3 linked regions of the Cricetulus griseus genome follow. The protein of the gene in region 3 interacts with the protein of the main gene of each other region in a pairwise test. Links are inferred from orthologs where the notes say so. Each region holds a gene or a part of one and is shown on either strand. Other genes may lie near its edges. The genes, in order: G2e3, Ptpn3 and Wdr6.

What was found.
Region 1: the proteins of Wdr6 (region 3) and G2e3 interact in a two-hybrid assay, tested with the Homo sapiens proteins (2 studies listed by BioGRID and IntAct). The two-hybrid records come from large-scale screens. The link is inferred for Cricetulus griseus from reciprocal best matches to the Homo sapiens genes WDR6 and G2E3.
Region 2: the proteins of Wdr6 (region 3) and Ptpn3 interact in binary tests that used the Homo sapiens proteins (3 or more experiments, as listed by UniProt). The two-hybrid records come from large-scale screens. The link is inferred for Cricetulus griseus from reciprocal best matches to the Homo sapiens genes WDR6 and PTPN3.

The regions. Positions count from the first base shown.
Region 1 is NC_048598.1:150,936,040-150,943,062, forward strand, and holds part of G2e3 (G2/M phase-specific E3 ubiquitin-protein ligase), read right to left. Parts: intron 6,530-7,023; coding exon 6,423-6,529; intron 5,482-6,422; coding exon 5,365-5,481; intron 3,414-5,364; coding exon 3,289-3,413; intron 3,184-3,288; coding exon 3,054-3,183; intron 2,676-3,053; coding exon 2,607-2,675; intron 1,706-2,606; coding exon 1,398-1,705; intron 1-1,397. UniProt on the Homo sapiens protein: E3 ubiquitin-protein ligase which accepts ubiquitin from an E2 ubiquitin-conjugating enzyme in the form of a thioester and then directly transfers the ubiquitin to targeted substrates. Essential in early embryonic development to prevent apoptotic death.
Region 2 is NC_048595.1:86,574,325-86,581,889, reverse strand, and holds the start of Ptpn3 (tyrosine-protein phosphatase non-receptor type 3), read right to left. Parts: upstream 5,140-7,565; 5' UTR 4,527-5,139; intron 3,833-4,526; exon of another isoform or gene 3,712-3,832; intron 1-3,711.
Region 3 is NC_048597.1:216,750,919-216,758,461, reverse strand, and holds the start of Wdr6 (WD repeat-containing protein 6), read left to right. Parts: upstream 1-2,625; 5' UTR 2,626-2,735; coding exon 2,736-2,835; intron 2,836-4,731; coding exon 4,732-7,213; intron 7,214-7,307; coding exon 7,308-7,397; intron 7,398-7,485; coding exon 7,486-7,543. Other genes in the region: P4htm (transmembrane prolyl 4-hydroxylase), read left to right, coding at 438-623, 1,236-1,326, 1,500-1,623, 2,012-2,232. UniProt on the Homo sapiens protein: Together with methyltransferase FTSJ1, methylates the 2'-O-ribose of nucleotides at position 34 of the tRNA anticodon loop of substrate tRNAs. Required for the correct positioning of the substrate tRNA for methylation.

The sequences.
Region 1 (7,023 bases), on a different chromosome or scaffold from region 3:
GTGTATATACACACACACACATACACACACACACACACACACACACACACACATATATACACACACACACAAACAAATATACATATATTGGCTTCTGCTATATGGTGCAATTCTCTCAAACTTGAATGAGTTAAAAACTATAGCTATTAGATGCCTGATACTAGAAAATACTATAGTACAAAGCATCCCTTCCTTACTCCTGGCTATGTAGGTTATGTGACAAAAATGTCATACAAATAACTGAGACATAATGTTGAAATCACTATCAATTTACATATTCTTGCTAAAATACATGATCTGATCAGATCATTTCATAACATATAGTATTAGTGAATCAAAGGATATGAACAGTTAAGGTTGTTGACAGATATTAATTATCTTACAAGAAGTGAGATTTACTTCCAACAGTATTATTTGCTACCATACCACACACTCATAGCTCTAAGTACTTTTTTAAAAAGTTATCTACAATGTTTTAGCAATAATGATGGGTAAGAAAGATGTGTAAATGTCAGTTTATACTTATACTCGTTCTTCAAAACAATTTATTAATAAGTAATATTAAATCTTCAACAATAATCTTATTTGTAGCTAGTTTACAGCTTTAAAAAAAGACCTAAATCCAGGGAGATTAATGGAAATGAAAACTACTAGGTAGATATATGCAGACTTGAATTGAGGTTTTATAGCTTATAGCTCTGTGCTTTCCATTGTGCCAAAGCTACCTTGAGTTAATAAGTTAACATAACTAATTGTGGGGAAGGGGTAGAACTAAACTGTTTATATTATAAATACCAAAAAATATTCAAACATCAGGCAATGATAAAGGAAGAGACTGAAATGCAAAAAAATCTTACTCCTTTTTAATTTCCTTATTTTAGGAAAACTCTTAAGAAAAACCAAACCAAACCAAACCAAAAAAAAAAAAAAAACCAACAACAAATGCCCCTCGAAAAAAAAGAAAAAGAATGAACAATAAGAGTCCAATAATTATCCATTTCATCTGGTCATGCTAGTCAAATTATATTCAAGAAAATGAAGTTTAAATTAAGATATTTAATTATGAAATACTTTTTAATTACATGTCACCTATGTGTCTGCAAAAAGTATAGGAGCCGGAGGGCGGCATAGGTGCTGATACCCTGAAGCTACCTTAAGGGCTGCTGGACATGGGTCCTGGAAATCCGGTCCTCTGCAAACACAACAAGCATTCTTAACCACTAAGCCATTTCTCCAACCCCAGATATTCTGAATCCTTCCTTCAAAAATAGCAAATTCTCATTCATAACAAATGCAAATTATTTATTCCAGATATAACTAAAGAATCAATTACAAGCATCTATCTTGTTTTTTTGCTATACATGCTATTTTCAGTACAAATAATAATAAAAAGTTACCTTGAGAATTTAGAGTCAAGTTCTTTGACAAAGACCCTTCAAACAGAGATGAAGTCTCAAGATATTGCATTAAGTGGCTCAGAAATTCCTGCTTTGATCCAGGATGCTCTCTTCCCAAGTTATCATTTTCACTAACATACATTACTTCAATGGTGTATGAAGGGTTAAACTTCTGACTCTGGAACTGCTCTAAGGTACTCCTCCACACATTGGCTTTGTTGATATGTAATCTCTTAGCCTTCTTTTTAATTTGGAATCCTAACTCTAGCAATATTGTTGAAATGTCTCTCCTAAATTTGCTGCCTTGCCTAGAAAACACAAATTCAAATAAAGATCATTATTGTAAAGCAAATTCTGTGGAACAACAATTATACAACATTAAAGTTGTAGTTCTTTTTGTTTGTTCTGTTTTTAAGTTTAAAAAGACAGCTTTTTTTTTTTGATGATATTGGAACCAAAACATTTATCAGATTATCTACTTTTAAATTCCCACAATCTAACCCCAACTTATAATCACTTAACATTGAAGTTTATTTGAATATCTAATTCAGTGGACTCAAATTTAAGGGTATGAAATTCAAAATATTACTTACTGGCCAATAGCTAAAATAACTCGATTGTATCAATAATGTATTCTCAATAGTGTAGCTACAACTGATAATGCAGATATTATCAACCGAACTCATGTTCCCTTAAATATCTTTCAATCTAATCATCTATGCCAACAGCATCATCTGTAAACTAGTTACAAATGCAAATCCTTGAGCCCCCAGGCACGTCTGCACTACCAAAATCTCTGTGTATTAGCATCCATGAAGCACATGAGTTAGATTAACTTCTTTCTGCCCCAGATTTTCCATCTGCAGGCAGAACTAATGTAGTCAATGTACATGGATCATCTTTCTATAACATTGTCCTACCCCAAACATTGCAGCCACATTTTATTATAGCAGTTGATTCCTTGCTCCTTGGGAATGTCAATGCTGCTCTTCAAGCATATAACTAGATGCTGAAACAGAAACAGTCAAGTTTCTCTAGTGCAATGTCTTTGGAAACCCAAATATTAAAATTATGTTCAAACAATGAATCATTCTAACATAAAAATAACTATAGTTTCCAGTTGAATTAGCGAAGAGAAACTATTTGCTTAAGGCCCCTGACATTAACTATATATAAAGTAACCAATGGTTATAAAATCAAGAAACCAACCTTTGTGTTAAACAGGACTCTTTTATAGAGGGACACGGTGTGCTTGATAATTGAACTTCTTGCTTTAGTCTGTAATTGAATAATGTTGTAAAGATATTTTCCAGGATGCTTAAAATCTTTAAAATATCTTATATTATGGCTCAGTATAAAAGGAGAAAAATACTAAAATTGATTAATATAGCCTGATACCTTGCTTATCTCCCTCCCTTCCTTTATAATACAGACTTTCATATAGCCCAGGCTGGTCTCAAATCCATTATGTCGCTACCAGTATGTGACCTTGCCAAGGTATTCTATGTCCTCCCACCCTTCCTTGACTTCATGCATCCCATGTTGGGTCCTACAGTTTGAAAATCATACAACTGTATGATCAGCTAATAAACTAAGTGTGTCTGGCATCTTAAGTAATAATTTTCAAAGTGACTTTTCTAAAATCAATACACATACCTCAGCAATTCTTTATGCTGGGCTCCAGCTGACTGTCTGGGGAGCTTAGGTGATGACTCTTCCAACAGGCAATCAGTAACTGTCACATTAGTAGAGTTGGCTAACGGGTGTTTGGGGGCCTTTCGGAAATCTACATATTTAAATCCAGAGGTTAGCTTAACAGAAACTTACATAAACATTTTCAAGAACATACACTTGAACAAAAATAACTTTGTTCAAACTTACAAACTATTACCTGAATTGTAGGTGATTCTTCTACAGTCCAAACACTCCCAGTTTTGTTCCAGTGACTGTAGTGTAGAACAGGCTAAGTGTGTTCCACTAGAACCACAACACTGACAGCGCTTTACTTCCCATTTGCTGAGGACATAAAAATAGTATATTTGCATGTTCTGTGCATGCTGGATGTCATTCAGATTAGCACCTAAATCCAGCCCTCTGTCATACACCACACCAACCTACCAAAGGAAGGAAAAGACTATGCCCCACGAAAGTACTGATTGAGGCAGGGTCTGGCTAGGCACTCCAGACTGGCCGTGACCAGTGGCCTTCCTACTTTATCATCCCAAATGCTTGGATTATTGGAATGCCATAGCACATCTGATTCTAAAGTATTTTCTCTCTTCATTTAATGTTTATAATCTCTTCCTCTAAACATCCTGAACTTAAAAACCTAAATGAATACTGATATACATATATACAAAGAATATAAATATCAGAAAAGTTTATAAGGAGAAAAATATTTTCCTTTACATTTGGAGATAGATTACATTCAGAGAGAGATTACTGTTCACTATCTGATACACAAGTTTGCAATATGAAGGTATGCAGGATTTCCAAAACAAAACAAATAAAAAACAATGCTCTGACATATTTCAGATGCCATGCAATGCAACCAATATAGTTTGTTTCTGACTCATATTATATTATTTCTCATCTCTGCTCCTTTCTTCTTGTCACCCATTGTGCCTGTAATACCCATATACATTTCCATATAGGTGTATTATTAGGGTTTTGATTGCTGTGATAAAAACACCAAGACCAAAAGTAACTTGAGGAGGAAAGTGTTTATAGGATCATCACTGAGAGAACCCAGGGCAGGAACCTTGAGGCAGGAGCTGATGCAGAGGCCATGGAATGGTGCTACCTATTGGGTTGCCCTGCATGGCTTGCTCATCCTACTTTCTTATAGAGCCCAGAACTACCGGTCCATGGCACCACCAAACTGGGGTGATCCTCCCCGATCAACTAATTAAGAAAATGCTGTACAGATGGATCTTCTGGAGGCATTTTTCCAATTGAGTTTCCCTCCTTTTAGAGGATTAGCTTGTGTCAAGTTGACATAAACTGGCCAGCACACAGTATATACTAGAAAGATGTTGGACTGAAGCTTCTCTCACTTTCTGTCGGGATGAGTACACAGTCTTCTGTACAGAAACAGATATATTCTATGTGGAAACATGGGTGGCAAGTTGAATGGCTATTCTTCCAACACCTGTATACATAAGCATCTTCCACATTAGTGTGAATGGGTGGAGCATAGGTGCCTGACTCTGCCTCCTCAAAATAGTTCTACTCACCCACAATGACGAAGATAGCAGCTAAAATATGTGTTTACTACATACCAGGCCCCCTTCTCATTCTTTGTATAAAATGTTCAGCTTTTACAATTTTGAAAGTGGAATGAACCACTCACAGAGGGCTATTTCCCTAACCGTATATTCCTGTATGTCTTAGGGTGAGGTTTCCAATTCACTTTGCTTGGGCTTTAGACCCATGCTCCATACTACACTAAGTTGCCTTTGTCTTATTAGAATGGAAGGAATACAGTTACAAAGCAAGCATCCTTCATTACAACAGTTGCCTGTACCATAACCCTCCTGAGTTATGGGAGACTACATTAGCAGGACAATAACATATTTTTAAGAGAGTGATTAGGCCACAGAAAATCACAGAGACCACCATGAGGACACAATGAGGAGTCACCTGTATCACCTCCCGGCAATGCTTCTGAGTAAAACAAAGCCATAGGTCCCTAGGTCTTGCACCTCTAGCTCTAAAGCTCTAAAGTCCCATCCAGTCTTCAGCCCTTTGTTACAAGAGCTTTCAGCTTGGAATAACCTCATGAAAGTTTACCAAAAACACTTCCTATATTGACTATATATTGACACAATTAATAAACATACTTCATCTCAAGTTAAAACTTCAAAACACCCTAAGAGGAAAACTGCATTTCACACCCAGACAACCTACAGTCTTAGCTAACATCTTAGTAAGGAAGAACTAAACACAATGCAACTTGCAGAAATACCTATTGGGTTCATTATAGTCTCGCCCTTTTTTGCAATGACATCTTCGAACATCGCAGCGGTCATGGCTCTGCAACAGCTCTTGATAGGCATTTTCTTCTAATTCCCAAGATGCATCCCTATAATGAAGTAAGATGCAAAAAGTGTGTTGGTCTGACGGAATTAATAATTTAGAAACAAGGATGAAAGTACCTTTTTAGGTTGTTCTTTTCAACATAGAAATCTATTATGTTACTTTACCTTACAGTCAGTTTCACAGTTAACTTTCAAACACTAAGTGAAAAGTTGAACAGAATTTTCTAAAACCTCTATTATTCTAGTATTTCATTTCCGGTTTTTGTTGTTATATCCTAGGCTACTTCAAATTCAAGTCCCACCTCTTCCCAGGTTCTCAAGTTCTGGGATCCCGCCCCATTAGAGGCAGAGTTTCTCTGTTTAACAGACTTGTCTGGGAACTCACTCTGTAGACCAGGCTGGCCTCAAACTTACAAAGATCCACCTGCCTCTGCCTCCTAAATGCCAGGATTAAAGGTGTGTGCCACCACCACCCGGATCACATGCCGGGATTACTAAGTGTGTTTGTTTTGGTGTTTCTTTTTCCTCTCCCTGACCCAAGACTCTAGCCCAAGCAAGCCTAGAACTCACTTCACAATCCATGTTGACCTATACACCTTAAGCCTCCCAAGGACTGGGGTACAATTTTTACTTTCAAGTATTAATCACTGCTTGAGATTTCTCATCTTATTTATGGCATCACTAAAATTCTTCTTTTCTATTTTAAACCCATTGAGTCTGTCTTAGATTATCTATGGATACCAACTTAAAGATGCTATACATATCACCAGAATTGGACTTATCTGAGTTACTAAGAGACACATCAGCTAATGAGACACTGACACCATAGTGCCTGTTTCTCAAGAGCTGGCCATCTGGGAGAAGGCACTTGATCATGTGACATGGCTACTTAGCCACAATCACTATTAAGACAAAAATTATTAGTTTTAATGTTACTAAATACTACATTTAAATGCTTTTGGTTATAAAGCCAAATGTTACTCACTTTTCAGGAATATGAATTCCCATTCTCAACATCTCTTTCTGAAAGATATCGGTATTATTGCATAGTGTACACCTAAAGAAATACACTCCTGCATTTATTGCTTGAACCTACAGCAGAAAATGGAAAATCTATTGTTAGTAATGCATCTCTCACCGGGTTGTGAATTATATAACTAATAGAACATATGCTACCTTTTCCTTGATGTATCCTGAAAATATTTTCTATGCCAATGGCTCTCAGAACTATAAGCAGTCACCCTAAACACGGACAGCCTTTTCTCCTGTTTAAAAAGCATCTCGAAAACACATAATCCTTTCAACAGTCAATACTTTACTTTCTCGGACCGTAATACTACTTTAGTTTACTTTCTGCTGCCATGAGAAAACATGGATGAAAACAACCCCCAGGCCACTGTCTATTACTGAGGGAAGAAATTCAGGGCAGGAGCCTGGAGCATTGAGTAGCTGCTTCCATCCAGTTCAGAACCTGATACTTTTCTTGTACTACATAGGACACACCTGCTTTGGGGTAGCACCTGTTAACAATAGGCTAGACCCTCTTCCATCATTTGTAGTCCACACCCCACAGACATATGCATAGG
Region 2 (7,565 bases), on a different chromosome or scaffold from region 3:
AACTTGACAGATCTCCAATCACATGGGGGTGGGGGCTGACTGCCAGGCATTTTTTAGAGCAGTTTAATTAAAGTGGGAAGACCACTCATAGTGTGGCTGGCACCATCTCATGACCTGGGGCCCAGACTACATAAAAAGGAGAAAGTGAGCAAAACACCAGGGGTCAGCCATCTCTCTCTGCTTTCTGACTGTGGAGCCAATGTGACCAGATAACTGAAGCTCTTGCAGTCATGACTTTCCTGCCATAATGAACTATGTGATGGGAGCAGAATAAACCTTCCTTAAGCTGCTCTTGTCAGGTATGTGGTCAAAACAGTGAGAAAACTAACACAGTATGGATGTGTGGCTGCCACCCTTACTTGTATCTAAGTTGATCCTACTTGAAAGCAGTTAGGAGACAGGTGAGTAGACAGAGACACACATGCACAAGTTCATATGGTCTTCAGAAGCCCGCCGTACACTTTCACAGCCCAATTCAGCTTCCAGTTCTGCAGCATTAGGGCCTGACACATAGTCTAGACTTAATAACAACAATAAAAAATCTGCATTTGTTACTGGACCTGCACTTATGAGAGCCTTGGGATAACTAGATAACTTGGAGGTAGAGGTGGCTTCAGGTGCTGACACTAGCAGAAGGGCTCGAGATGCAAGACTTCTGGGTCCTAGGAGCAAAGGCCAGATCAAACTTCAGCCAGGGGACTAAGAAGAGCTTCACCAAGTCTCCTCCACCAAATGATAGGAGACCTCTGTAAAACGAGAGCTGAAGTCACTGGACCCAGACAACAGCAACATGCATTCGATCCAGTCCTTTCTTATCTACAATATGAGGGGAAGGTAGCAGAGGACCAGCCCCCATGCCCACCAGCCCAGCCAGGCTAAGGTATGTAGAATACCATCAGGATTCCAGCCTTGGCAGAACCTGTGGAGAGAAATGGGGCCAGGCTTTGCTTTCCAGGAACTGACTGACTGGTGCAGGAAGGTAAGCCCTGCGATTATGGTCAGAGAGGGGACCACAAATCACCAATCCCTTCCCAACATGCCAGTCCCTTGAAAGGAAAGAGAGTATTCCATGTCTTCTGGTCATTCCGGGAGGTTATTTATACTCATTCTAGAAAACAAGTGCCCCTTGCATTCATGGACCTATGTGTAGCTCAGAAGGCCACAGTGAGTCCTCTTGCTCTGGTCTCACTCAGTCTTTGCTAGCTCACATATGTATGTGTGTTGGTGGGGGTAGGGAGTGGGGCATAACACTATAATTAAACTTCCAGCCAATAAAAACTAAGAGCAATTACCTACTACCCTAGGACTGAGACCGAATATCAACCTAAAACTCAAACTTCTTCCTGGGATAAGATTTGCCTATGACCTTGTCTCTCTGGCATGGAGTTGAGACCTCAGCAAGCATATTAAAAGCTATCATACCTTTGCTATGAGATCAGTCAGGTAAAATGAGGGCTTCAAGCTGGGATCTTGAATTTAGCTCGTAGGTAAGCTGGGAGCCAAGAGCCACACACACTAAGATCTGGCCTGAGTTGCAGGGAAGTGCACCAAGATTCCAGGCTGGGGGGGTCCCTTGGCCTATTCACCTTGCTTCCCTACCCATAGCCCTGCAGCTGCCAAACAGAAACATCTGTTCAAAGGCTCACCTCATCTCTTCCAAATGCCCTCAGCAACCTGACCTCCCGTCTGCCACTCATGTCTAATTTGCATACACTAGTCTTTGGAGGAGAAGACAAATCACCAGAGACAACCCAGATCAATATAGAGTATTAGGCACGTTTTTATTCCATTCTAATTCTCGGCAGATTGGTATTCCATTAACTGTATGTGGGGATTTATGGGAGTGCTCATACACTAGAATATTTAACTAGAATGGCCTACTCCCTGTCAGATAATAGCTTACTGTTGTTAATTTTCAACTAGGCAATCTCAGGAAGGCTTCCAGTTTCCAATACAGTCCAGATCTTGATTTAATCGTCAGGAAAGACATCTATGTGAGGTCTAGCCACACATGACAGTCTTATCCAGAAGAAAAAGCCCTGTCCCTGGAACCAGAAGCCTTGGGTTCCTCCATCCCAGTTACAATCAGGACAATTACAGGTGCCCGCTCAGAGCCTCAATTTCCTCCTCTATAAAATGGGAGTGACACCACCCTCTCAGGGAGAACTGTAAAACCTAAACGAGATGTTCATACACACTGCACAACTCTACGAGGTAACTAACTGCAAAGGTTCGTTATTATCATAAAAAGCCCCAGATGAAATTCTCAGATAGCCTAGGCTAGACAAAAAGCAGAGCGTATCACAACTAATTCTACTGAAAGGGGAGACACGTCAACCCAGACAATACATGGTGGCATTTCTGGTTGGCACATGGAAAGGGCTGCAGCAAGAACCAATTGAGCAAATACCAGGGAGGCTGCTTTGCACCCTATAATGCACAAGGGGCACCCACCGCAAAGAAGACACAAACCCACTGTGAGATGCCGACAAACCTTGATCCAAGTACTTAAGGTTAGGCATGGGAGCTCTGCAGCATCGGCATCTTCCCAGACAGGCTTTCCAACTCATTTGCAAGGCGGGTCATCTTGCAGAAACAGTTCTTTCTGCAAGTGGGGACCAAGTGTCAACTTCTGGAGTTTCTTAACTCCAGACTGCCTTTAAACAAGAGGCTCTCTGCTCCCCACCGTTCTGTTCAGTTGCTTTTCCAAAGCCTCAGCAGACCTTCTCCGGGGCACAAACACAGGCTCCGAAAATGCTTGCCTAATTCTAATTTCCTGACGAAATGGGAGCCACGAGGGTCTCTAACTGAATTAAAATCACATCACGCCAACTGCTCGCTTGCTTTGTGCCGGGCACAGAGCCAAACACCTCCACATCATTTATCCTACTTAATCCACCACCAACCAGGCGAGGTGGGCATTATTACTGCCTGCATGCAAGGGAGGAAATGGAGGATCAGGGAGGTTAAACTACTCGTCCAAGGTCACCAACTGGCCAAGGTAAAGAGCCCAACTTGAACCCAGGTCTCGCGTTTCCTAACCACAAGCTCCCTGCACCTTCATGGAACACCAGGTGCCAAGTTGTCTTAACTTCCCATGAATTTTTTAAAGGCAACCCTCAAGTTCGTAATAAGTTTGGGTGGCAGCAACCGGGGGCGAGGGTTTCCGGTTCTCTCTCCGCACAACGCAGCAATGTCACCGCAAGTTAACAGAGAAGCCACCCGGTCGCCCGCGGAACGGGGCGGATTGGATTAGCTCTGGAGTTCGTGCCAGGCCCAGGAAATGCCATCTTTGCAACTGGGAGGCGAACTGCGCCCCCCCAATTTGGGGGGCGAGCCTCGGGGGCCGCGGACGGATGGATCCCCGCGGCCGTGCGCCCCCTCGGCGAGGCTGACTATATCGCGGCGCCGGGCCCAGGGCTCAACCAGACTGGAGCGCACGCCCACGCCCGCGCCGCCGTGTCCTGAACGCCCAGCCCTGCGCCGTCCCCGCTCGCGCCCCGCCCCAGCCCCGCCAGGTGATCCGGGCCTGAGCGCCCCCCCAAGATGCCCGACGTGGCGCGGGGGACCCGGGGCTGCCAGCCCTCCCGCTAGTCCTCCCGCATGTCCGCCGCGCCCCGGGCCGGGTGGGGGTGGGGTGGCGCCCCGCGAGTCCCTGATCTCCGCAGCCAGCGCCCCGGCCCACCCCGCGGAGGTCCCAGCCGCCCATACCTGCAGCATCCGGGGGCGCGGGGCGCCCAGGTAGGTCGCGCGGACGGGCGGCGCGGAAGCTCGCTCGCGCCGCGACCTGGCCGCCGTCTGAGCATGCCCAGTGCAGCCCGCGGGCGGCTCCCGCCGGCCCGGCTGTGGCCGCGACGGGCCCGCGCGCGGGGCGGGGGACCCGGGACAGGGGCGGGCCCGGGGCAGGCTTGGGGCACGCTGCCATGCCCTTCGCGGGCCACCTGCCGACATCCCGCGGACCTCCGAGACCCCGGCTCACGTTCGCTGCCGTTCATACCTTAAGCATTTATTGAACACCTACTGTGTGCCTGACTTTCCGGGATTGCATGCCTAGGAATGGCAAGGACTTGGCGCTCAATGAATCTTTGAAATGACAGCGAGCTTGCACCGGGCTCCGTGGCTGAGTTGGGGATCTCGCTGACACTCCAGCACAGTCCTTTGCTGGTCCTAGGACGCCAAACAGGTTAGCCTGTCCCAAGGCCAGCAGGGGCCCTAGCTGGAGGGCGTTCCTGCCTGCCTCTTCCGCCTCCTCCCACACCTGCCTTCCTGCGCTCTGAGTGCACCTTCCTCTTCATCACACCCTCTGAACTTGACTCGCCTCGGGACGTTTGCGCTGCCTTTCCCTCGGGGTAGGACGTCTTTTCCCCAACTTAGCTGGTGCCCGGCGCCCTCTCACCGTACAGGTATCTTCCGTAGGAGAGGCCTTTCTGGCTACCTTTCTAAACTAGCCCTGACCTCTTGGCCACTCTCCACGTCCGTTATCGCCTTCCAAGCAAGTATCACGTATCCATTCAACAATTACTTACGTTCTTCACATTTAATAAATAGACAAAATTTCTGCCCCTTGCTGGGAGTTTGGAAGGGAGTCTCTCGCAACAAACAACAGGTCCGCAAACAACGCAGTGTATGAGGTGATAAATTCTTAAGAACGGGGTGGGGATGGTGGGGGAGAGAGCTGGGCAAGAAGGCTAGGGGGGTGGCCTGATGAGAGTTGGTGGAACAGCCGGATCAGGTGACAAATACCATTCAGTCACGCAGCTAAACGAGGAAGCTTTCCTAGGACGGAAAAGTCAGTGCCAAAACAAGGAGCGCAGGTGTTGTGCCTACGGCACGGGAAAGAGGGCACAGGGACAAACGGGGTCGGTTACTGGCTGTCTCTCTTGGCTTGGGTCCCCCGTAAGGAGTACCTCCCTTCAGTGTCAGTTCGGTAGCTCCGCCTCTCAAGAGACCTAACCTCTAAACAACTCTTGGCACAAACTAAAAACGTTTTTGTTGAATGAAGATTGCTAACCGGAGGATGTAGAGGTGGGTAGGACCCCTATAGTCGGATGTCCCGAGAACCTTTTGTCCCCTAGGCACCATGAGACCCTCGACCGTGCCTGGTTTACTGGTTTAGATCCCGGTCCCGGTCCCAAGGTAGTGCACCGCTGCGGGAGCCGCGGGAGCGTCGCGTCCGGGGAATTCCGACAGAGCCGGGAGTCCCGGGGGCTGCACTGCCTTGGCCCCGCCTAGGATCGTACGCAAAACCTGGAGCCACAGCGCCGTGGCAGCACCATTCGGACCGGCAGGGAGAGCACTGGGCATGCTCGGAGCCTGGGGCGCCCAGCGTCCGGAAGGAAAAACCCCCTGGAGGGGTTGGTGAGGCTGCACACCGAGTCCCACCTGGTCATCTCAGGCTCAGCCTTCTGCCTCCGGGCAGGGAGTGCTGGGTAACCTTCCTCCCCCAAGCATGGTGGGAAGACCATTCAGAGTCAGCTGACTGCACACTCTGTCCTCTACCAGCTGCTGTGTGATCTGCTACCAGAGCCTTGCGCTCTCTGTGCCCTAAATAATACAAATGCCTACGCTTGGATTCGGGGGCGTGTGGGGATTGGAAAAATAAAATAAAATAAAAAAGGACGTGAATTTATTCAGTCCACTTTAAATATTTACCCCTTGCTGAGGCTTGAATCCAGGGCTTTGCACACCATAAGCACGAATCTCTACCACTAGAAGCCTTACCCCAATATTCGTTTCGGAAGTGCCTATCTCAATTATGCCATCCTCTCGTAACACGGACTGCTAAGATGAGGCCTGGAGAATTCTTAGCGCTGTCCAGTTTAAAGTTGCTGGAGTAAAACCGTTACCTTTTCTCTGCTCATCATTGCTTAAGCAATGGTCTCAGATTCGAGCTAGAAAATAGCTGTGAACCTTAAATCCCTAAAGATTATTATTAATTTTTTGTTTTGTTTTTCGAGACAGGGTTTCTCTGTGTATCCTTGGCTGTCCTGGAACTCTCTCTGTAGACCAGGCTGGCCTCGATCTTCCACCTGTCTCTATCTCCCAGGTGCTGGAATTAAAGGCATGTGCTACCACCAACAAGCAAGATTTTTTTTTAAATTCGTATTTCAAATCACCATAACAGAACCAGGAACATAATAAAAGAAATAAAAGAATCCTCCTCCCCAACTGGAACAAAGCAGATGCTCAAAGGGAGGGTAATGATTGATTGTGTTCAGATCCATTCACTGAAATAATTACAACTAGATCTCTCGGGTCCTTGATATGGTTCAGTGGGTAAGGGCACTTGCAGACAAACTGACCTGAGATCAGTCAATCCCCAAGCCCCACCTGGTGGAAGACTGACTCCTGCAAGCAAGTTATGCTCTGATCTCCATGTGCATGCACATGCATACATACACACAATAAACAAATAAAATTATAACTTAAACTATTTCTATCACTATGCAACAACAGGAAACAACAAATGAAAATATTGAAAGCAACAAATTGTGAAAAGGTGGCATGGACACACCACTAAGAATGCAAATAATAGAATTTTGAAGCCAGGAGTGGTGTTGCAGACCTTTAATCCCAGCACTCAGGAGGCAGAGGCCATCAGGTCTCTGTGAGTTTGAGGCCAGCCTGATCTACAAAGCAAGTTCCAGGACAGCCAGGGCTTCTATGTTTTGTTTTGTTTGGTTTTTAAAGTTAATTAATGTCTTAATGTTGTGTGTGTGATAGTAAACACTTAAAGACCTGGACATGGTGACACATATCTTTAATCCCAGCACTGGAAGCAGAGGCAGGCAGATCTCTGTGAGTTCTAGGCCAGCTTGGCTAGCAAGTTCCAGTATAGCCAGTGCTCTATAGAGAGACCCTGTCTCAAAAACCTTCCCCCAAGTAAATAACACACACATCCATGATTAAGTTCAAATGTGGCCAATGTTTTCCATGAATTCTTCAATCTTTACAGTAGGTGGTTTGGTTTGTTTTTATCTCAGTTTCACTGAAAACAATTACAGGGGTGGGTTCACAGCTGGGGACAGGGATGGGTTCACAGTTGGTGACACACACTGGGGAGGATTTGAAGGCAAGCCCATTGACCTCATAGCGGGGTGTCAGGTTTTATGGTCTGTTGCCTTATATAAAGGAGCTAGCCATTGATTGATGAGTAAAGGAGACTGTCATTTTATTCTGCCCTTTGTGTGCCTTTCCCCCCCTAGTTTGATGTATTTTTTAGGCTGCAGATTACTTTTAACATTCTGGTCTACTGTTACTGTTTTGTTCTTGGGGCCAAAATAGTCAAGCCCCGCCTTTTAATCCGATGTGGCTGGATTGGCGTGATGTTATTAGCCTCAATGACAAGTGATTTTATAGTGTACATGTCCCTTCTTTTGTGAATGGGACTTTTGGATGGACATGTAATCTTCACGGCTAACTCTAAAGCAAATAACGCCCAGTAGTGAATAGGACTGTTCTGAGCCCCAGAGAATGAGGCCAGGCCCAAAGGGATTTATGTAGATAGATGATGTCCCTGGATAGTCATTTGGGGCTAGGGAGTGGGGACAGGGTCATGACTTAGT
Region 3 (7,543 bases):
CGAGGAGAGTTGAGGCTCTTGACTTAATTCTCCCTATTAATTGGATATCTCTATGTCTGGCAGCCTGGGACATAGAGCTCATGCCACCACCACAGACCCGTGTGTGTGTGTGTGTGTGTGTGTGTGTGTGTGTGTGTGTGTCTTATGTGCCCAAGGCTCACCTTGCACTTGCTGTCTAGCCAAGGATAACCTTCCTGCTTCCACCTCCCGAATACTGGGGTTCCCAGCATACACTACATGGTGTTGATGTGGTGCTGGGGTTGAACTCAAGCCTTGCACACATTAGGCAAGCACACTACAATTAAACTACAGTCCTAGCTCAGCCTCCTGTTCTTAGAAGTCCCTGGGACTTCCAGGGGAGGTGGACAGGGATAAGCTTGTGGCTGGCCCAAGGTGCGTCCACCTTGGTCAGCTCCTGAATGCCTGCTGCCTACCAGGGTGCTGCGCCTCACACGCCTTTCTCCGGAGATCGTGGAGCTCAGTGAGCCACTGCAGGTTGTACGATATGGTGAGGGTGGTCACTACCATGCCCATGTGGACAGCGGACCTGTGTACCCAGAGACCGTCTGCTCCCATACGAAGCTGGTAGCCAATGAGTCTGCGCCCTTTGAGACCTCCTGTCGGCAAGTACCTCCCACCGGGGGGTTGGCTTCAATTCACAGACTGGGTGCACTGAGGATGCAGGAATAGCCTGCTAGGGGCCAAGAGTACACTGGGCCACCCTGGTCAGCCATGCCCCTGCTTTTCCCCCAAGCCTCTCCTTCACTATTTATGGAGTAGCAGGAAAGTGGTGGCTACCGGCCATTGTGTCTACTCAAATGAGAACAGACCCAGATACCCACAGGTACTGACACTTGCCCTCATAAACATGGATCTTGACCCCACTGGTGGGGATGTCAGGCTGACTTCTACAGCTGTGCCCCCCACCCCTGCACAAAGTTAGGGTTTCATGTGGCTGTTCTGGCTCAGTCCTGCCAGTTGCCAGCAGACTTTGCATGTTATTCCTGCTTCTACAAGCTTACCTTTTCCAACCAGGTCTTTGGTCAAGGTCACGTAACTTACCTAAGTACACCTGTCATCTCAGCCACACAAGAAGAGTGGCTCTGTGGGGGTAAAGGGCTAGAAATGTCTTGGCCCTCCTAACCTGACCCTGTGGCCCCTGAGTAACCCTGCCCACAAGTGGGAATATCCTCAGTTGGGGATCCGCTCAGCAGCCCCTCCCCTCCGCCTTACAGTTACATGACGGTGCTGTTTTATTTGAACAACGTCACCGGTGGGGGCGAGACTGTCTTCCCTGTAGCAGACAACAGGACCTATGATGAAATGGTAAGGGCCAATGGGCTATTACTTCTGTGGGTTGGCAGGGCCTTGGGCAAGTGCACACACACCCTTCCAGACCTGGGGTGAGGGCACATGTCTGTTTTCCCTCTAGCCAACTTTGGCTGCCTGACTGTACAGAGGCAGGCAGTCCACAAACATCAACTCCTTGTTGCCCACAGAGTCTAATTCAGGATGATGTTGATCTCCGAGACACTCGAAGGCACTGTGACAAGGGGAACCTTCGTGTCAAGCCCCAGCAAGGAACTGCAGTCTTTTGGTACAACTACCTGCCTGATGGGCAAGGTGAGGGCTTCTCTGAGGGAACTTATCTCTCCCTTCTGCCACCTGAGGGCTGTTTCTGTCTGCTCTCCAAATAGCCTTCTGCCATAACCAGTGATTTCATTAGGCCACAGCGCAGCCTCTTGGGGTATCTCCATCCATTGCCCTCACGCATCAGCCTTTCTGTACTCTGGGGCTAGGGAAATACTCTCAACAACCCAGGCCGGGAAGAGCTATGGAGTGGCTGGCTCAGCAACAAGGAAGCCGGGCAGAGGGCCAGTGTATTGGCCATGCCTTAGTGGGTGAGATGCCGAGTCCTTCCATGGGGATTAGGAGTTTCCACAGCTCAGGAGGGTCCAGCCTAGGGTTCCCTCCCACGTGTCCCTTTGTTCATGCCACCTTCGTCCCCTAGGTTGGGTGGGTGAAGTGGACGACTACTCCTTGCATGGCGGCTGCCTGGTCACCCGTGGCACCAAGTGGATCGCTAACAACTGGATCAATGTGGACCCCAGCCGGGCACGGCAAGCTTTGTTCCAGCAGGAGATGGCTCGTCTGGCGCGTGAAGGCGGCTCCGACCCGCAGCCCGAATGGGCCTTGGACAGGGCCTACAGTGATGCCCGCGTGGAGCTCTGACGCGAGGCCAAGATGCAAGTCACTGCCCATCGTCAAAGACCCTGCAGGTCCTCTGTTGTACTGCAGACTAAAGATCTGGCCGATCTTGCCCTGCCCCTTCCCGCCTGCAGCCGCGATGAGGGGCGCAGTTGTTCCTACGTTCACGTTATTTACTGGTGTACAGCGGCCTCCATGCTGCTCCATCAAATAAAACGACAGGGCTTCGAGCCGGGTGCAGGCCAGCTCCGCGCCGCCTGGGGGAGGGGAGGCCCGCCGCTCTCCCCGCCAGCTTCCCGGGGGGCGGGGGCGGGGCGGGGGGCGGGGCGGCTCCCTTGCTGGGCCAATCGCCAGCCGGATCGCGTGGGGCCGAGGGTCGTCATTGGACGTCCGCGGCCGGGCGCCGGGGCTCCGCTACCTGTAGCTAGGGGATCGGGAGCTCGGCGACGCGGCTCTCAGACGGCTGGTTCTCGCGAGAACGCCGCTCTCTTCTCGGCTGTGGCGGCTGCGGCAGCTTGACGAACGTCATGGACGCTGTCGGGGACTTCGTCTGGCCGCAGGCGACCTCGGAGCTCATACTCCTCCCGGTCACGGGTCTGGAGTGCGTTGGGGACCGGCTGCTGGCGGGTGAGGAGGCTTGGCCCGCTCTCGTCGTGCTGGCGGGCGAAGACGTAGCCGGTCCCCCGGGGCGGTGGCGTCGGGACAAAGGATGCCCCGGGACGGGGACGGGCAGCGGGCTGGGCCCTGGCCGTGGGATGAGGCCGGTTGGGAGGTGGCGGGAACGCGGGCCAGCCCGAGGGGGGCGGGGCTCGGGAGACAGGGCTGAGGCCGTCGTGGCAGCTCCTCCTCAGCTGCAGCCGGCGTGGGGAGGGCGTGGGGAGGGCGGGTGGGGTGCCGTCGCTCCCTACGGGGGGGGGGGGAGGGCATTGCACTCCTGAAGGAATCAGATGAGGTAGAGAACGACGGCCCCAGGGGGCGTGGCACGAGGTTGGCCTCTGGGGAGGGTGAGGCTCCGCCCCCAAAGATGAGGGGCCTGAAGGAGGGTATGGTCGCCAAAAATTGAGTCTGAGACTTCTCCGAGTAGAGCAGTATTGGGAGGGGCCGGGCTCAGGTCCCTCCTGCAACGGTTGGGGCTCTAGGCCAGCCGGGTCAGTAATCACATGACCCAGTGTCTGGTGGTAAAGAACCTAACTCGAAGCCACTAGCCTTGGTGATGGTGGCGGCGGGGGATTCATAAAGCTCCCTAGCACTGACTACTATGCCTCTGGTCAGCCATCGTCAGCCCAACAAGGTTGTGTCGAGGGTATAATGGAGAGTTGATAAGCGGAGGGTGGGGGGAGTGTGTGGGTGCAAATATTGGTTTGCTCCAGTGAGGTGGGGCCAGCAAACTCTTCTGGAAGTGAAATCTGTAGAAGCTGGAGAAAGAGAAGATATGGAGCATTAAGAGAGGAGTAATGTTGCGGCCTCTGGGTTTGGGCTGGGGTGGGCAGTGGCTGGGGATGTTTGCTGGGATGCGGATGAGATAGCGGGAAATGGCTGCAGCGTGGCCAAAAGGAAGCTGCCAGGCCAATTCTGGGAATGTCTGTTGATCTGGGTCTGTGGGCTCTAACACAAAAGGGGTGTAAGAGATTGCCCAGGAAGTGTGAGTTTGTATAGAGGGAGGCACTGGACAAGCCTCTGAGCGTAAGTTAGGAGTGTGGGTAACACAGTAGATGCTGTCTAGGTTTAACCCTCTCAGACCTTGGAGTTGCAGACAGCTGTGAGCTGCCATGTGGGTGCTGGGAATTGAACTCGAGGCCACCAGAAGAGCAGTGCTCTTAACTGCTGAGCCGTCTCTCTTGCTAACTGTACCTCATTCTACCTTCCAAGGGTTCTCTGCTGTCTGGTGCTGTTGAGGCCTTCTAAGCCTGAGTCTCACACAAGGGTTCACCGCTGTCTAGTGGTGAGGCCAGAGCTCCCCTGCCTGTGAGGTGTGGGCTGCTCCTGCCTCCACTCCTGCCAGTGCCTCTGAATATGCACAGGGTTATCGGTTGAGGAGGGAGGGTTGCTGGTTATAGGCTTAAGGTGTGGAAAGGTTGACACAGCCTTTTCCCTGAGGGAGGGAGAGTCATGTAGAGACAGATGAAGCTGAGAATTTGGGGAATAGAGCAGAGTTGGCTTTCCCATCTGAAATGTAACAATGATGGGAGAATTCCTAGTGAATATACGTAAAGGGTGATGGATAGCCAGGCACAATGGCACCGTGCTATAATCTCAGCAGCTGGGAGGCTGAGACAAGAGGATTTTGAATTCAAAGTCAACTTGGGCTGTGTGGGAGAACCTCACCACAAAAACAAGTACCTGAGAAACACATACATTTGAAGTAGAAGTCTCGCTGAAGCTGAGGTCAGGACGTCCTAGGTTTAGTAGGATTTTGTGTCCTTGATATATTAAGTTATATGTTAACAAGTGCTGTGCTCCCATCTTGTCATGGACCACAGCGTTAGGGGAGTGGCTCTGATGTGGCTTTCTACCTCTGTCTAGGTGAGGGGCCTGACTTACTGGTGTACAACTTGGACTTTGGTGGGCATCTCCAGATGGTGAAGCGAGTACAGAACCTGCTTGGCCACTTTCTTATCCATGGTTTCCGAGTGCGACCAGAGCCCAAAGGAGACCTTGACTCTGAGGCCATGATAGCTGTGTTTGGGAGTAAGGGACTCAGAATTGTCAAAATTAGCTGGGGTCAAAGCCATCTTCGAGAGCTCTGGCGCTCTGGCCTGTGGAACATGTCCGACTGGATCTGGGATGTACGTTGGCTTGAAGGCAACATAGCCTTGGCCTTGGGCCACAACTCAGTGGTGCTGTATGACCCTGTGATAGGGTGCATGCTACAGGACGTACCCTGCACAGACAGGTGCACCCTCTCCTCAGCCTGCCTGATTGGAGACACTTGGAAGGAACTGACCATAGTGGCAGGGGCCGTTTCCAACCAGCTCCTGGTCTGGTATCCAGCAACTGCTTTGACAGACAACAAACCTGTGGCACCTGACCGTCGGGTTAGTGGACACGTGGGTGTCATCTTCAGCATGTCATACCTGGAAAGCAAGGGCCTGCTGGCAACTGCTTCAGAAGACCGAAGTGTCCGTATCTGGAAGGTGGGCGACCTCCGGGTACCTGGGGGTCGGGTGCAGAACATTGGTCACTGCTTTGGACATAGTGCCCGTGTATGGCAGGTGAAGCTCTTAGAGAATTATCTCATTAGTGCAGGAGAGGACTGTGTCTGCTTGGTGTGGAGCCATGAAGGTGAGATCCTTCAAGCCTTTCGGGGCCACCAGGGCCGCGGTATCCGGGCCCTAGCTGCTCATGAGAGGCAAGCCTGGGTGATCACTGGGGGTGATGACTCAGGCATTCGGCTCTGGCACCTGGTAGGTCGTGGGTACCCAGGCTTGGGCATCTCAGCTCTGTGCTTCAAGTCTCCCAGCCGGCCAGGTGCCCTCAAGGCTGTGACTCTGGCTGGTTCTTGGAGAGTACTGGCAGTGACTGATACAGGGGCCCTGTACCTCTACGACCTTGAGGTCAAATGCTGGGAGCAGCTGCTGGAGGACAATCGCTTTCAGTCTTACTCCCTGCTGGAAGCAGCTCCTGGTCCTGAAGGCTTTGGACTCTGTGCCTTGGCCAATGGGGAGGGTCTTGTCAAGGTTGTCCCCATCAACACTCCCACTGCTGCTGTGGACCAGAACCTGTTCAGTGGGAAGGTACACAGCCTGAGTTGGGCCCTCCGTGGCTATGAGGAGCTTTTGTTGTTGGCATCAGGCCCTGGTGGGGTAGTAGCTTGCTTGGAGATCTCAGCTGCACCCACTGGCAAGGCCATCTTTGTCAAGGAACGTTGCCGGTACCTGCTTCCCCCAAGCAAGCAGAGATGGCACACATGTAGTGCCTTCCTGCCCCCAGGTGACTTCCTGGTCTGTGGAGACCGCCGTGGCTCTGTGCTGCTATTCCCTGCCAGACCAAGTCTGTTCAAAAATCCTGGGCTTAGAAACAAGGCTATTACTGAAGCTGAGGCCCCTGGAGCTGGTGATAGCAGTGGTGGGTCTGAGAATGTTCCAACAAGGTTAGTCCCAGTATCTACCCTTCATTCTCTGCATGGGAAACAGGGCGTAACCTCAATTACCTGTCACGGTGGCTATGTATACAGCACAGGGCGTGATGGCACCTACTACCAGCTCTTTGTACATGGTGGCCAGCTCCAGCCAGTCCTAAGGCAGAAGGCCTGTCGAGGCATGAACTGGGTAGCTGGGCTTCGCATGGTGCCTGATGGAAGCATGGTCATCTTGGGTTTCCATGCCAATGAATTTGTAGTGTGGAGCCCCCGGTCCCATGAGAAGCTTCATATGGTCAACTGTGGTGGAGGACACCGCTCCTGGGCCTTTTCTGATACTGAGGCAGCCATAGCCTTTGCCTACCTTAAGGATGGTGATGTCATGCTCTATCGGGCTCTAGGTGGCTGCACTCGGCCAAACGTGATTCTCCGAGAGGGTCTGCATGGCCGTGAAATCACCTGTGTAAAGCGTGTGGGCACTGTAACCCTAGGCCCTGAATTTGATATACCCTGCTTGGAGCCTCCTGACTACCTGGAGCCCGGCAGTGAGGGGCCTGGTCTGATTGACATTGTGATTACATGCAGTGAGGACACTACTGTCTGTGTCCTAGCGCTTCCCACAACCACAGGCTCAGCCCACGCACTCACAGCTGTTTGTAACCATATCTCTTCGGTGCGTGCTCTGGCAGTGTGGGGCATTGGTTCTCCAGGTGGCCCACAGGATTCTCGACCAGGTCTTACTGCTCATGTAGTGTCTGCAGGGGGTCGGGCTGAGATGCACTGTTTCAGCCTCATGGTCACTCCTGACCCCAGCACCCCAAGCCGCCTCACCTGCCATGTTATGCACCTTTCATCCCACCGGCTGGATGAGTACTGGGACCGGCAGCGCAATCGGCATCGGAAGGTCAAGGTGGACCCTGAGACCAGGTAATGTGCACTCCCTGTCGTGGCCATGGAAGAAGCTACAGGCAGGTGTCTCCTGGCTTGCAGGCTCCACCTGACAGCTGTGTTCTTCCTGTAGGTACATGTCTCTTGCTATTTGTGAGTTTGACTCCGACAAGCCTGGCTATGGCCCCCTTGTGGCTGCAGCCTGTAGTGATGGAGCAGTGAGGTGAGCACTTGGGGCCAGTGAATGAGGAGACAAAAAGGGTATGTATGAGCTCTTCAGGGTGGGTTCTGAGATGCCTCCCCGCCCCCAGGCTTTTTCTCTTGCAGGACTCTGGGCGAATTCTGCATCTGCTTGCTGAGACTTTCCAC